2 linked regions of the Caenorhabditis elegans genome follow. The protein of the gene in region 1 interacts with the protein of each later gene in a pairwise test. Each region holds a gene or a part of one and is shown in the gene's direction. Other genes may lie near its edges.

Region 1 (8,800 bases):
ATTCAGGTGCATAGAAGCCCATTAGATTTCTTATCCAGAACACAACTCGGGCTTCAGGGGGTACCTTTTTCACGTTCTTCGGTCGTCTCAACTGAGCTCCAGTCAGGCTCCTATAACATTCCTGAAAGTGTTATGTGAGACCATCAATAAGTGAAGTTTGAGTTTTCAGGTGTTCATAACACACGACTATCTCTCATTCATTTTAAAGCTTACTTGTATTTAAAAATAGAATTACTTCTCAGTCAAGAGCGAGTCACGGCAACTCGGTCCAAAACCATTTCTAATTAGTAAACTCTCAAAAACCACAACTAATTAGCTTAAAATCATTGCTAATTAGCAAAAATAAGCTAATTTACAATGGTTTTAAGCTATTTAGTTGTGGTTTTTGAGAGTTTACTAATTAGAAATGGTTTTGGACCGAGTTGCCGTGACTCGCTCTTGACTGAGTTTACTGCTCTAATATTCTTTGACCTTGATCTTAGAGATCGAAAACACGAGAAAGGTGTACGTCCTGAAGACAAAGATTGCACCTCCCGATGATTGACAACTCTATTTGTGATTTGGAGAAACTGACTGGAAAATGGGTTAGTTGTTTGTGGGAAAGTCGATGGTAAATAAAATAGTTAGATGCTTCGGCACTATAATTTTCAAGGTATTCCAAAAAAAACTTTTCCGTACCAATTTTATAAAATACAATAGTTAATTTTTCAGACGTGTTGTCTAGAATTATAATCACACTACGTTGCTAATTTATTAAAACTGCTGCAAATACTTTAAATCCGGAATTTTTTTGAAATTATATCTTTGGAAGTTTGAATTAATAGAACAGTAAAGAGCAATTTTTCTACAGTGATATTTTGATGATATGAGGAAACTTTTAAGGTGTCTTGTTTTTTTTCGGGAATTCGGGAATTTATCCATTTGTAGGCATTCAAAGTAGATATCCAGCAGAGAATGACCAGTCTGCGTATCCATGACAACTGAACCAGAAACATGTTCCATGTGTGAAAGGACGTCGTCTTCGAAGCGGAAGGGTCACTTCTAAATTCATTTTGCAAAGTGGATGAATGTGGATAAGTGCTTCCATTTTATTCCACTTAAAATGATTTAGTTTTCAAAAAATGAAATTCATCTACATATTAAGTCATTAACCGAATTGAATAAATGTAATCAGTACGTACTTATTCATCTCTCATATGCACTTTATTTTTTCCAAATAAATATTTTTAAAGAAATTGAGCATTGGTCACCCATCGCAATGATTCTGGCAAATATTTCAATAAAAAACTCAAATTTCTCGCCTTCTCTCTCATTATTCGTTTTCGTACCCGTAGTATCTCATTCAAAATTCATCGTTTTTCGTTTTCAAAACGTAAAACCGCTACCCTAGCTAATTCATCTCATTTTACTCCTCCCTATCGGCTGGCTCCTTCTGCTTTGTTGTTGTTTACTGCATCTCTTACTCTCTATGTTTCTCTCTTTCTCTAAATCTCTTCAAAGTCCTGTACTCTCTAATGGGCTCGCGGAAGAGCCCCCGCAAGCCAAATATGGAACAGAAAGTGAGAAATGGAAGAAATTCAGAAAGAGACAGCAAGAAGAAGTGAGTCAATTTGAAACACACCCACATCCTTTCTTTTTGCATTTTTTTTCTTTTGCGAAAATTTGCTTTTTAGTAGGGCAATGTGTGTCACTTTTCATTAAAATATCCATCTGTCATTTTCTCTCCTATTTTGTCATTTTTAAGATATTGATATGCCATCGTACATCATTGAAGCTTTGATATTTCTGTGATTTTTCAATGCAATTTTATTTGATCGATTATCAATAAATTGAAGCATATTATTTATTTGCAAATGATACTCAAAAAGATAACTTCATGCATGAGATAAACCACACCTAACTTTTTATCACTTGAACTAGTTATCCGATCGGATAAACTTATCATATCGTGAGTATATAAAGCATTCTATTATAAACACATTTTACACATTTTATTTGTTTTAGATATTTTGTATGTTTTCTTATCAAGCTATAATTTTGCTTTCACTTTTAAAAATGAAATGTACATTTTTAAAAAGTATCTCTCTTTTAAATTACTGCCAAAATGGAAGCTCTGTTTTTTTTTACATTTTAAACATAAATATTGTTGGACTTACTAAATCTTATGACGGCATTTTCAGCCATGTAATGAGTTTCCAAAAACTGATTGAAGTAGCTAATGTTCTCAGTTTCCAGGAAATTACAATATTCAGTAACTTAGTTCAGTAACTTAGTTTTTTTTCTAAAAAATCTATATTTTTAGTTTGAAAAAATCTACACAGAAGACCTGACCAATAATTTGCCGGCCACCAACTAGTAGGAAAGGTTCTTCGCAACGCCTGTTTATTTATATTATGCGTGTGCCCCTCTCCCTCTCCCTCAACCTCATACTTCACTTCTCTAATCCTCTATGAATTTATTTCTCCAGGCGGTACATATACTCATATCCTTTCTCCTTTCTGTTCATCCTTTCTGTTCATCCGATGCCTCTCTCCTTTTTTCCGATTCTCCCTGATCATCGTTTGGTGAGGTCGCCACCCTCACCGTTATTATGTACAAGTTGTATGAACATGCCCGGTTTGGGAGGTGATGGTAATCCATCCGTTTCACGGAAACTCACTTTCATTTTGTACTTTCTGTAGTTTTTCGTTGTTGTCTCTGTATTAAGCTGATGACTTTGGAAATTCAAAAAAAACTAGGGACTCAGTTTGGAGTGCATTTCAATTTGAAAAACGTCGATTTTAAGTTCTTTCATCGTTTTTCCCTATATTAGCTTTGCATCCCATTACCAAATTTTAACAAGTCATATTTTTGTTACCATTTGTTTTTTTAAGTGTCAACTAATAAAGTATGTATAATTTCTTTCTTTATAGTTTTGTTTTTAATTATTTATTGATATATCTTCGAAATAAAAATAACCTTTTAAAATGAAGTGAAAGTGTGAACTACTAATCAAAAATGAGGTATGTGTCTAGATTTCAAGAGCACGAAAGATATTGGTGAAGCAATTTTTAAAAATTATTCTAGTTCAATACCAACATTTTTCTTGATGTTCCACATTTCGAACTCTTTCCCTATCTCTCTCTCTCTCCTTCTGCGCTTAAATTCTCCAAATTCTCATGTTCTGTAATTAGCGGTCTTGTCGTGGTCATCACAATTACACGGAAAACTATTTGTTTGTGTTATGTAATGTGTATGTTCTCGCCATAAAACAAGAAATGAAACCTGAAAAACGAGCAGAAACAATTGGCTTACTGCCTATTACGTGTGTGTGTGCCCGTTCCGCGTCCCTCTCATTTCCGCCCAACTCCGCCTACTTTCGTCTCTTTTCGATCACTTTTCCGCATCATTTTGATCACTTTTACAAACACATTCATGCCCGTAGTCCACCACCATCATCGCTTAACTCTTGAAATTTCTGATTGGTCATTGAATTTTGTCTTGGAACTTCCATCATTGAACACCAATCCAATTTAGACTTTTCCTTGTATTTATATGCCTATCGCCTGAATTTCTCTGATCTAGATGCTACCCAAAACAGACTTTTTCCCATTTCGTGTCACTCCTTTTTTGTGGGTCACAACTAATAAATCATGTTGCTCGTCGGTTTCTCGGAGCACACTCCATCCTTTTCCTTCTCATCAATTCAATGTGAATCGACATGCTTCTTCTTTTTTCTTCAGATTTCTTCACTACCGTCGTCACTTTTCGTTTTTTTTTCTTTTTCAACCACTTGAAAATGTGAAAATGTGCACTAGAAGTTTATGAGCTCTTGTAACCGAACACAGGCTCGTTTGTGAAAATGTGAAATGGAATGATGTTGGAAGAAAGAAAAGAACAAATCATGAGCTCCGGGTGATGGAATTCAAACATTTTTCCACAAATCTTATTGGCTTTAGTCAGAATTCTTCGTTCGTTATTCTGTAGAGTGACCCGAGTCAGACAAGCTTAATGAAATCATCAATATTCATTATAAACAAATTGTTTTAATTTATTTAAAGATCATTCTTTATATTATCAGAAAACAAGCTCTGAGTTTTTAATAACCATTTATTCAAACCTCCAAATATTCAATAAATTGGGCTTAATTTCTGTTTCAAAATGTTTTTTAATCAACCAATATATTCTCATCAGTTGTTCTATGAAAATTCTATACATTTACAAGAATTTTGGAGCGATGGAATAAACTAGGTTATAGCAAGTTGATGATACCTTTTCCACTATTTGAAACTCGACCGTTCTGTGAATTTTCTATAAATACAAAATTAACCTCATTCATGAAAGTGCTTGACGGCAAACAAAACAGTACCGAGATCAGATCACAAATAATTTTCTCTTCCTTTTTGTTCAATGTTCTGCCATCAGTCTACATTGTATTCAATTTCATGTTTGATTTGTGCGCCTGTTTCGCTACAAGCTCTTTCTCTGTGCCCTTTCAACTTTTCATCCTCCTCATTCCTTCTTCAATTTTTATTAGTTTACCTTCTCTCACTTTTTTATGACGTGGAATCACTGTATTTGCAGAGATACTTCTTCACCTTTTTCTCCATATTCGACCAGTTCTTTCACTTCTTCTCGGTTTTTTCTTTTCTTCCCTTTTTCCGCTAATAATACCTGACCAACAATTCATTTTCGGCTTGGTCTTGTATAGAAGACCACTTGAGATACTTTTGAATGCCATTCAGTTGCTATATTTTACTTTTTTTTGTTTTTTTCCTGTTGTTTTAGTTGCTAACTAAAAGATTATCCTTTTTGATCTGGCTACGATATAGTAGACAGAAAGAGAAAGTAAAAAATCGAACGTTGTTGACATTTTGTTCACTTTTTATTTCCTTTTTCAATTTTACATACTCTTAAATATGTTGACTATCCTCTATGTTTCTAAATGAACACAAAAATTTTTGTCTCCGTTTTTTGCGTTGTTTTCCTCAACCGCTGCACCCTAGAATTACTGTTTTCCAGAAAAAATAAACGATCGACACACATAAACACAGGAGTCTCTCACTCCATTTTTGACTTTAAAAATGGATTCGCATGTCGGCGAAGTCGATATTTTCCAACAATGCAAGTATATTCATGAGGTTTGTTCTAATTTCAGTTTGTTTTTGGTTTAACTAGTGTCACTAGTTGCACAAAGTTTGAGAGAATATTTTAAGATTTTTTTTTTCTGAAATTGATTGAACCATTTTTCACTGAGTTTATTAAAAAATTGTGTACCAGAATTCTAATTCACATTCCAATTATTGTTCAATTTCAGGTGGAACTCGTAAATATGAAGTTGCAAATGCGAATTCTGGAGACACACATTGAGACAAAAGACCGACTTCTGAGAAATTTAGAAGATATTATAGACGAACAAGAGTCACGAATTGCAAATATGGAAGATTTTATTCAAGGTACGCACTGTCGTGTGTAGTGAATTTTTGTGAAGTTTTGCATGATTAAAACCCCGTATTACTTATCCGTAATCTTAGACACTTACTTGATATATTGTCATGAGTACCGTGTTTTTTAATCCCAATTTTTTGATCGTCGTGTGATTTGGCTATCTTTAGCTCAAAAGTGTTATCTTTTAATACGCATTTTTGTTTTTTCTTAAAGTAATTGTGTTGTGGTGGTCGGATTGGCATGATTTTATAGTGTTTAATCTTTATTATTTTCTACTTGGTTTTTTGGTTGACAGTGCCTTTTTTCAATTTCACATATTCTACCAAAATCATTTCAATCCGGCCGATACTGATAATATTTTTCTAACATCATTACATGTTCACTTTAATTTCGCAAGTCCAAACAAAACTTACAACAGCTTATTTCTAAACAATAATCTAGCAAACGGCTAATTGGAATGATCAGGTTATTAAATGTTGAAATTGAATTGCAGGCCGTGCCACGTCATACACAAATCGGTCAAATATGCTGAAAGGAATTTCAGTTCTTTCACTGGATTTCGGAAATCTTTCGGAAGAAAATCTACGATTGAAAAATGCGCTGAGCCAAATGCAAAAAGTGGCAAGAGTGAATGAGTTATTGGAAACTGATGAAGATTATGAAAGTGATATGACAAGCAATGAGGATCGATTTGCTTTGAGGTAACCATTTTATTGTAATGTGATTGTCTTGTGAAAATAGTTTGAACACTTGAATTTTTTGAAAAGTAGGTCAAAAATGTAGTGTAATTTATTTTCCGTTTGCAAGCCTTTGCATGTTTTCCTGTGTATTCCAGCCGTGATTCTTCATGTTCGGTTCCCAGATCAGTGAGCCCCCAACCAACGGGTGACGTCATAAAGCCATATCCTCAAATGGTTCAATCAATGAGAGAAGAAGGGCATTGGAAGAAACTTCAGAGATGTGCAGAAGAGCTGAAAACTGAAAAAGATGAATTGAAGAGACTAGCATTGGATACAAAAGATGCATTCAATGTATGTATGGCTGAAATGAGAATGATGCTCACTTCAAAGACAACTGATTTCTTCCGAGTTCTCATTGAAAGATACAAAGCAGAAATGGAAAAACGAAAGCAATTACACAATCAATTGGTTGAGTTGAATGGTAAGTTCTAAATTGATTGAAATATTCCAAGAAATCGGAATGATTGATCTTTATAACTACTTTCCAAAAAACTAAAATTTTCAATTTTTAAGGTAACATTCGTGTATTCTACCGTATCCGTCCACAACTTGCATCAGAAACTGACAATCAAAAACCAGTTGTCGTGATAGATGAAATGGATAACGGAGTTGTCCACGTGTCAAACACAACGGGAACTCGGAAAACTAGTGCTGGAGCTGACAAGGTTATTCCAACTGATTTCTCGCAAGATCAGATATTTAATGAAGTTTCTCCGATTATTACATCTTGCATTGATGGTTATAATGTATGCATATTTGCGTATGGACACACCGGAAGTGGAAAAACATACACTATGGATGTAAGTTTAATTAAATTTTCAATAGAACTTTAAATTTCCAATTTTCAGGGTCCCGTCACAATGCCTGGAATCAATCAAAGAGCTATTATGCAATTGTTCGAAACTGCGAAGGAGAGAACGGGCGATATAAAATATGATATTAAAGTTGCCATGATGGAGATATACAATGAAAAAATACGGTAAATTGACTTTTTTTTTAACCTAAAATTGCAAATTCATTTTTCAGTGATCTCTTGAACACTTCCAACACAAATTTGGCAATTCGTCAAACTGAAGAAGGGAGAAGCTCAATTCCAGGACTTGAGGAAGTTTCAGTGAACTCTGCAGAAGAAGTCACGGAAACGCTTGCTAGAGGAAGAAAGAATAAGGTGAATTTGAAACAACTTCATATTCTAAATTTTCAATTTTCAGGCTGTAGCTGCTACTGAAGCCAATATTGAATCCAGTCGTTCTCATGTTATTGTTAGAGTTTTAGTATCGGCCACAAATCTTATAACAAAAGCAACTACAGTTGGTATGTCATTTTTCAAGTGAAAAAATATTTTGAATATATGATTTATTCAGGTCGTCTGAATTTGGTAGATCTTGCTGGATCAGAGAGAGTTTCTCAAACGAATGCAACCGGTCAACTGCTAAAAGAAGCTCAAGCTATCAATAAATCTCTATCTGAACTTGGAAATGTTGTACTTGCTCTTCGCCAGAATCAAAAACATATTCCATTCAGAAATTGTCAATTGACAAGAATTCTTGAAGATAGCTTGAGTGAGTTTCATAATATATTGGGATTTCCCTTTTAAATATTATTTTCAGATGGAGACAGTAAAACTCTGGTCATTGTGCATTTATCACCAGATGCAAAGAGTTTGAATGAATCTATTAGCAGTGTTAATTTTGCTGAAAAAATCGGACAGGTATGCATTTATGCCTTATCACATTTTACAAAAATTAAATGTTTCAGGTATTCACAAAAAGTGGAACGATGAAAAGAGAACCAACACGTAGAAGTATGACTGGAATAAGCAGTGGTCAACGAAGAGAAATCCCAGCATCTCCAAGAAAATGAACCTCATAAAATATCAAATATTTCATCTCTACTTCTCCAATAATCATCTTGTCAAATCCCTGAAATACCCGCTTACTCTTTCCATTCTAGTCCATGAAAAATTTCAAAAATTCAAAATGGGTTCCAACAATTTTTTTTTTCTAAAACTGCTGACTGACCAAAAAACTTGAAATACGGTTTACTTTTTCAAATCTAAATATATCCCCCATTTTTATTATTTGCAAATTTGTTTATGTGTGAGCTTTGAAACAATAAAAATATTCATTTAATATTTTTTAGTTCAATCCAATATTTTGATAGGTGGAATTGCAACAAAAATGAAGCAACAAATTATAAAAACAATTGTGAAGATTATAAGGCAGAATCGGTCAACTGCTTGAGCTGCAAACTTCCATTCGTCCTAAAATTTGAAATAAACATTGTTTTTTTATTAGGCCTGCATGTAGGACTATTTTTTATTTGCTGGTAAGTGTGACTATAAGAGACTGGAATGGTAATAGAGGAAATAAAGTATTGAACTATAAGGTTGATCTAACTCTAAAAAGAAATGTTAATAATGTTGTCAATTGTATAAAATAACTTAAACCCTATTTTGGGGCATATATGACAATATAATACATGCATTACATTTGACCGAGTACGGTTGGCTCTCTCTATCTATCTCGTTGTCCAGACCAGACTCATTTTTTCCGCGAAGTACTCTATGCCTCTTCCCTCTCTAAAAGAGACTCAGACAGTCCAAACAGAAGGACATTCTCTTCCACGGCCAC
Region 2 (6,586 bases), on another chromosome or scaffold:
GGAGTTGTTTCAACATTGATGATGCTTTTTGTTCATAAGCCTTATCGTGACGCTTTGAAAGGATTCGTTTCAAAACAACAGCCACGTAGCCAGCAGAGAACACGTGGATTCAAAGTTACTACTCAAAAAGTATGTTATCTTGATCTATGACAAAATTTACCGCTAAATTTGTAATAAAATTTTTGATTGGTTAAATAACAATAACATTCAAATTCTGAGAAGCCAGTATAAGACAGGTGAAAACACGTTTTTTTTAATTAGTGCTGGCAATGAAAGAAAGAAATAATGTGTTAGATTCCGTTTTTGAAAACTCAGTATTTCTTGAAGTTAAAGGGGGAGTAGAGTTTGTGGGGAAATATATGTTTCTGACTCTAATTTTGCCCCTGATGCCGAATATCGATGTGAAAAAATTCAAAAAAATTTCCCTGATTTTATATTAATTTTTAAAATCCGAAAATTCATTGGATGCCACTATGTGAGTTTTCAAACGCCGAATTTTCCCGCCAGAGACGCCCCGCCTACGAAACCGTGCCGCAAGTGTGGGTTTACGAGGTGAATATTTTCCTTCTATTTTTATTTGATTTTATACCGATTTTCGTCGATTTTTCTCATTTTTTCGCTGTTTTATATTGAAATGTTTGTTATTTCTCTTAAATTATGCCTTTCTATTGATGAAATACACAAAATTTCATGAAAACTCCATTTTCAGCACAAATTCGACGGGAAACAAGGTGGAGGCAACCGTGGACAATAAATCTATTACTTATTCGTGTGTAATGCTTTTGTTTTTTTAGACAAAACAAGTAAATTTATTATAAGACTGTTTATATTCAATAAACTTTACAAAAAAAACATTTTTGGGAAAAAAAACTACAAAAATCGAAGATTGTCCTCGGGAGCGTGACGAATCAACGTGTTCCGGATAACTGAAATGTTAAATGTTTGTATTAATGTGGAGAACTTTCGTTATTGAGATTTGTAAATAGACTATTGATAAGCACTAGGATTAAAATAGGAAGTTTAATTAAATTTATTACGATAGTAAGATATTTGCCGAATAAATCGACATACTGATGATTTTTAGGATGTTTTAGGCTTAATTATTTAGCGATTCTTACTTTTCAATTGTTTTTTAAATAATATTTTCTATAAGAAGTACTCACTTTCCAAAAAATCGTCGTGTCTCCGCGATTTTCCTCGTTTCCCGTCGAATTTGTGCTGAAAATGGAATTTTTCATGAAATTTTGTGTATTTCATCAATAGAAAGGCATAATTTAAGAGAAATAACAAAAATTTCAATATAAAACGGCGAAAAAATGAGAAAAATCGACGAAAATCGGTATAAAATCAAATAAAAATAGAAGGAAAATATTCACCTCGTAAACCCACACTTGCGGCACGGTTTCGTAGGCGGGGCGTCTCTGGCGGGAAAATTCAGCGTTTGAAAACTCACATAGTGGCATCCAATGAATTTTCGGATTTTAAAAATTAATATAAAATCAGGGAAATTTTTTTGAATTTTTTCACATCGATATTCGGCATCAGGGGCAAAATTAGAGTCAGAAACATATATTTCCCCACAAACTCTACTCCCCCTTTAAAAAATTTCAGCAATCTAAAAATGTAGGATTGTTTCTTAAATTGTATTGCTGAATATTTTCGATTACCGCGCATCACTTATTCTAGCCAGCTTGATATAATAACAGGATACAGAATCTTGTGGGTTGAATTGAATTTTTTGTAACAAGTAAGTGGTGACCACAATGAGGAATCATTAGTAATTCTGCGGGCCGCATACATTCTTTCTTGCGGTTTTAGCTATAGTTAAAATTATTTCTCGGAAATTATAATCGGAATAAGTATTGGAAAATGCATAAGATACTTTAAAGCTTTAAACACGGGAAGCTGGTAATAAATATCTTAAACTAGAACTGAACTTTACGGGTACTGTGTTTTATTTACGAGATGGAATAGTATTTTGTTGTGTGTACGTGATTGAGGAAAAATCTATTTGACACAAAAATCTTTAATCCAGTTGTTTACGTTTTCAACTACAACTATGATCAAATAACGAATGATTCTCTGCAGTTTGTTTCAATACCTCAAAAAAGTTTTGCAAGCCTTAAAATTTCAATACAAAAGTTTGTTCAAACTTAAGTTCAATATTATTCAAAAAATATAAAATATCACACTCATGAATTAGTATTCCCTTGAAAAAATTCTAATCTGATTTGAATTTTTTACAAATATATCGAGTTTGAAAGTTTTCAAACATTGAAAATAAGAAAAAGTTGGGACAGAGTTTCAGGTGATTTTCAAATTAGCAAACAATGCACAACTTTATTTTATGATTAAATAGGGTTATAACCAGTAAAATAACTCAATGTGCTATTAAGAGTTTTCACAAACAATGCTGCATGCTTCTTAAAATCGGCTACAGAAGATTTACCACAATGCTTCTTCATAATCCATTTGTTACACCATTTTTTGGTTGTAAACATTTGCATTAATGTAGACACTTTTTTGGTTTGAAAATCAAAATTCACACATTTGTATTTTGGCAGAGCTTCTTTGTTTGCACGTATCTTTGACAAGCAAGCAATAAACGGTGTCTGTTTTAAGTCGATGACATCACACTCATCTTCTACCATCCGCGTGCTCGAATCGTGAGGTGAACAACTGTAAGTAGAATTCTGGAACAGGTACTGGTTAAGGGTTTAATGTTTGGTCTCAAATTTATCTCACCTTAAAACCTTGGCACACTTTGCTTATGTTTGCCACATCTTTTGCTTCGAACTTCTTGGTAGAGTTTTTATAATTCTTAAGCAGAAGATAAGCATCTCTTCCAGATTGTCTCCATCTACACTGTGCGAAAAGATAATGAGGATCAAAACAATCGGAGACATTTTCTGGTTTTTTAGTGATAGTTTCAAGATACTTGTCATAATTTTTCGAAATGTTTTCAATAATCGGTTTGTCACAAATCGACTTTATTGTGTCGAAAAAACATGTCTTCCCGGTTGTAAATGCTTTTTGTTGGGTTTTCGGATCGCTCTAAAACCACAGAGATTTAGCAAAAATGAAGTTTGCAATCAAACCGAAAGAAATGAAATGTTCTTCTGACAGTCACGTGTATCTCCCAGTGCAACAGTGCAAAATGATCGGATACAGTAATACGAGTCTTGGTTATGCCAGGAATAAGGTGTTGCCATATTGAAGAGGAGAACAATCAAAAACTCACGAAACAAATTCATTGTGAAAATTAGAGTACTGGAAACTCTGAAAAGGATATAGTTATTTTTTAGACTGCAAAAAGAAAAAATTAATGTGAAAAATTATCAAACCGATTATTAAACATGTAAAAATTATTAAACATGTTTCCCCATTAGACATTACCATGCTTATATAGTACATCAAAGAATCAAACCAACACACAGTTAATCCCACTATTTCTATTATTTACTACAATACCCAGTGAGTCACTCTAAATATCAAAGAATCAAATAAACTTCTCGCTGTGCGTAACAAAATCCACTTGAATCGAAAGTGTTCCTTGGACAATGGATGGATAAAATGTAACCAAATTTGTTCATCCATTGACTGAAAATATTACATTTGAATATTTTGAACTGCCAGAAAAATGTGTGAGAAAATTCCGAAGAAATGTTTAATTTTTTGAGAATTTCTAACTACAAATCAATTGGATTTTTTTACAATTTCAGCATATATTGGAAACTTGTTCAAAACGTTATGAAACATTAAATTTAAAAAAACTTATTTGACTCTTTTCTTAAAAGATATCTCACAGGTTCTGTTTCTTTCGTTTTTCCGCAATCTCGAGATTTATCGGGGTCGAAAGTTACAACACAACATATTAACAGAATGAGTCATGCAGAGGAATGTTGCAAAGATCAGATCTCATTAAATATCCAAAAAAAAAATTCCCGAATAACATTCACGTACATTTTTTTTAGTTTCTCGAGAAACTGCAACAGTTGCCGCCAGATTCAATTGCATCTTTTGCGACGCTTATAAATAAGACATCACATTGGGACTTTTCAGTCTTAGGTTTTTCTCGTTTTCATTTATTAATAAGATTTGTGTTTCAGAAAATGATAAATCTTTTCAATGTTGCCCTCATTGGGTCTGTGCTTTTAGGGGTAGCTCATGGTGCAAGCGTAGCAACTGCTGGATCAAGATACTTCCGATGTACTGTTGAAGATGGATTTCAAGCAGCTAAATGTCTTTCGGTGAGATTTTTTCTAAAACTCTTCACGAATTTCACGTTTAGCGTCTCATCAACATTCAAGAAAAAGTTCAAGAGCACGATATGGCTAACCAAAGTAATATGAAGAATTTTGTGAGTGCTTGTAATTCTCTTCACACGTGTTTCTCCAATATCCGATGCGACAAAAATAAGGAATATATGCTCAAATCAGTTGAAAACTATTGTGAATTCGTTGCGTACGTCCACGTTGATTTTGCTGAGTGCAACGAAAAATTAAATGACAACGGTTCAAAGTGTTTCAAAAACTGGGAACCGATGTCGATTGGAATTCCTGACATGAACGACGAAATTTGTGAGAAAATTTTCAAACGGAAAGATTGTATGAAGAAGGACATTGTGAAAACATGCGGGAAAAAAGAATGGAGATCGTTCCGCGAGGTGATTGAATATAAACTGCTTTATCAAAAAAAAACGAAAAAAAAAACGTTTATTTTCAGAAAGTCATCAATCCATTCGCCAAGAAATGTGATTTCAGAAGATATTAATAATCTTGCGAGTTGAATAAAATAAACTTTTTGATTTTAATTTTTCCCGATTCCCAATTTTCCGATACCGATAATGCGCAAGATTTTTCACAAAAAACTTGACTAATATTGCAAAAATTTAAGAAATGCCTATGAATTCTAATTGGACCTATAAAACTTTTTGCATTTTATGCTTCCATTGGATGTTTGAATACAAAACTTAAAATTATGTTTCACAACATTCACAAATTCAGCTTTAAAAGTTTTTGAACATGACGAAGTTTACTTCACTTTATTTGATACAATTCATTGGCAAAGAACAGATTTCCGAATCATAGTGCATTATAGCCGGAGAAGAGTACAAGAGTTCCTTTAAGATTGCTTGCAAGAAATGATGCATATTTTCGGAAATCTATTACCGCACTTTCATCACAATGTTTCCTCATAATCCACTTGGTACAGTACATATCCTCTGTGAACATATTGATAAGTACTTCTATATCTCTGCTTCGAAAATTGGAATCCGTGCAATTGTAGTGCGGCAGCTTGAACTCGCGATTGCGTAACTTTGTCAGGCAACTCATGAATGGCGAGTACTTTAATTCCACAATGTCACATCCGGCAGAAATCCTTGCTATATCTGGATACTGTGAGAAGCATTCGTTAGCACACTTCTGGAAATTTGGGAAGTTGGGCGGTTATTTGCAGAAAATTTAAATATCGCAAGCAGCGAAAAACTAAACCTATATTTAATTAAAATTTTGAAGCGACTTTTACCTTGAAATCTTTGCATTGATTCATCACCTCCTCCTGCTTATAAATTGACATTTTCTTGTCTGCCCATTTATATTTGTTAACCAAATTTTCAGTTATGTCATAGCTTTGCCTACATCGGCAAGATTCAAATGCGTAATATGGATCCTTGCAACTTGTTTCACTTGTTGGTGTTGCTACTATGCTCTCCATATAGATGTCATAATTGAGTGTGATATGATCAATTATCGTTCTTGTGCATGTATATTTTGTATAGTCTGAACTAATTCCATAAATAAAACATTGTTTTCCTTCTTTAAATGCAATTTGCTGTAAAGCCGGATCGCTCTGAAACTTAGTTCTTTATGTAACTCTTTTAAGCTTAATTTGAAACTAACCGACATAAAGTCATGGTTTTTAGTGCAGTTATCAACATTCATTTGTGTAAGAAAACAAAACTCTCTTATACACGCATAGGATTCATCAACTTGGTTAAACGAGCATGTTGCGGTCCCAATAATGAAGAAGAGAGTCCATGGTAATTTAATCATTGACCCACTGGAACGTAGTAAATCTCGACTGCCTTCAAAGCAAAAGCAGGGCCAAAAATATAAATTAAAATTTGGATATGGCTTAAACAAAGAAAAAATGATTTTTCAACCTATTTGAGAAAAGTTCAGAAAATTTTCAGTGCAAATGGAATCAAAATTTAAACCATAGGTCGGCGTGTTCAACCAACAAATCCGCATGAATGGAAATGTAATTCTAGTCGATTTACGATCTCAGTCGACATTTCGATCACTAGTTCAATGTGTCACGTATGTATTCTGCAGTCTACAATGAAAGTAGACAATTGTCGTATAGGTTTCTTTTTGAGTTTGAAATGTAAATGCGTTAGCTGGAATCCTCGTTATAAAGTCCAATGCTCAATTTATAGTGTCTATCCTTTAGACAATTTTTCAATTGGAAACAAATTTTAGTGAAACATTTTTTTCAAAATTAATCATTTATAGGGGCAAAAATATTTTAATCATCTGATAGTTCAAGAGCTTTCACAGTGATTGCGGCATATTTTTGGAAA

Evidence for each region. Proteins that work in one complex are often made in the same cells at the same time.
Region 2: the proteins of klp-3 (region 1) and ZK105.1 interact in a two-hybrid assay, tested with the Caenorhabditis elegans proteins (one large-scale study listed by BioGRID).

The regions. Positions count from the first base shown.
Region 1 is NC_003280.10:7,837,354-7,846,153, forward strand, and holds klp-3 (Kinesin-like protein klp-3), read left to right. Parts: upstream 1-4,999; 5' UTR 5,000-5,063; coding exon 5,064-5,120; intron 5,121-5,296; coding exon 5,297-5,435; intron 5,436-5,920; coding exon 5,921-6,128; intron 6,129-6,262; coding exon 6,263-6,588; intron 6,589-6,680; coding exon 6,681-6,967; intron 6,968-7,015; coding exon 7,016-7,146; intron 7,147-7,193; coding exon 7,194-7,335; intron 7,336-7,378; coding exon 7,379-7,481; intron 7,482-7,531; coding exon 7,532-7,729; intron 7,730-7,777; coding exon 7,778-7,878; intron 7,879-7,925; coding exon 7,926-8,030; 3' UTR 8,031-8,300; downstream 8,301-8,800. Other genes in the region: Acetylcholine receptor subunit alpha-type acr-7, read right to left, coding at 8,311-8,430.
Region 2 is NC_003283.11:7,709,888-7,716,473, forward strand, and holds ZK105.1 (T20D4.11-like domain-containing protein), read left to right. Parts: upstream 1-4,103; 5' UTR 4,104-4,112; coding exon 4,113-4,250; intron 4,251-4,291; coding exon 4,292-4,666; intron 4,667-4,725; coding exon 4,726-4,773; 3' UTR 4,774-4,811; downstream 4,812-6,586. Other genes in the region: ZK105.13 (T20D4.11-like domain-containing protein), read right to left, coding at 2,352-2,693, 2,746-3,054, 3,099-3,254; ZK105.12 (T20D4.11-like domain-containing protein), read right to left, coding at 5,085-5,426, 5,530-5,853, 5,904-6,056; ZK105.5 (T20D4.11-like domain-containing protein), read right to left, coding at 6,532-6,586.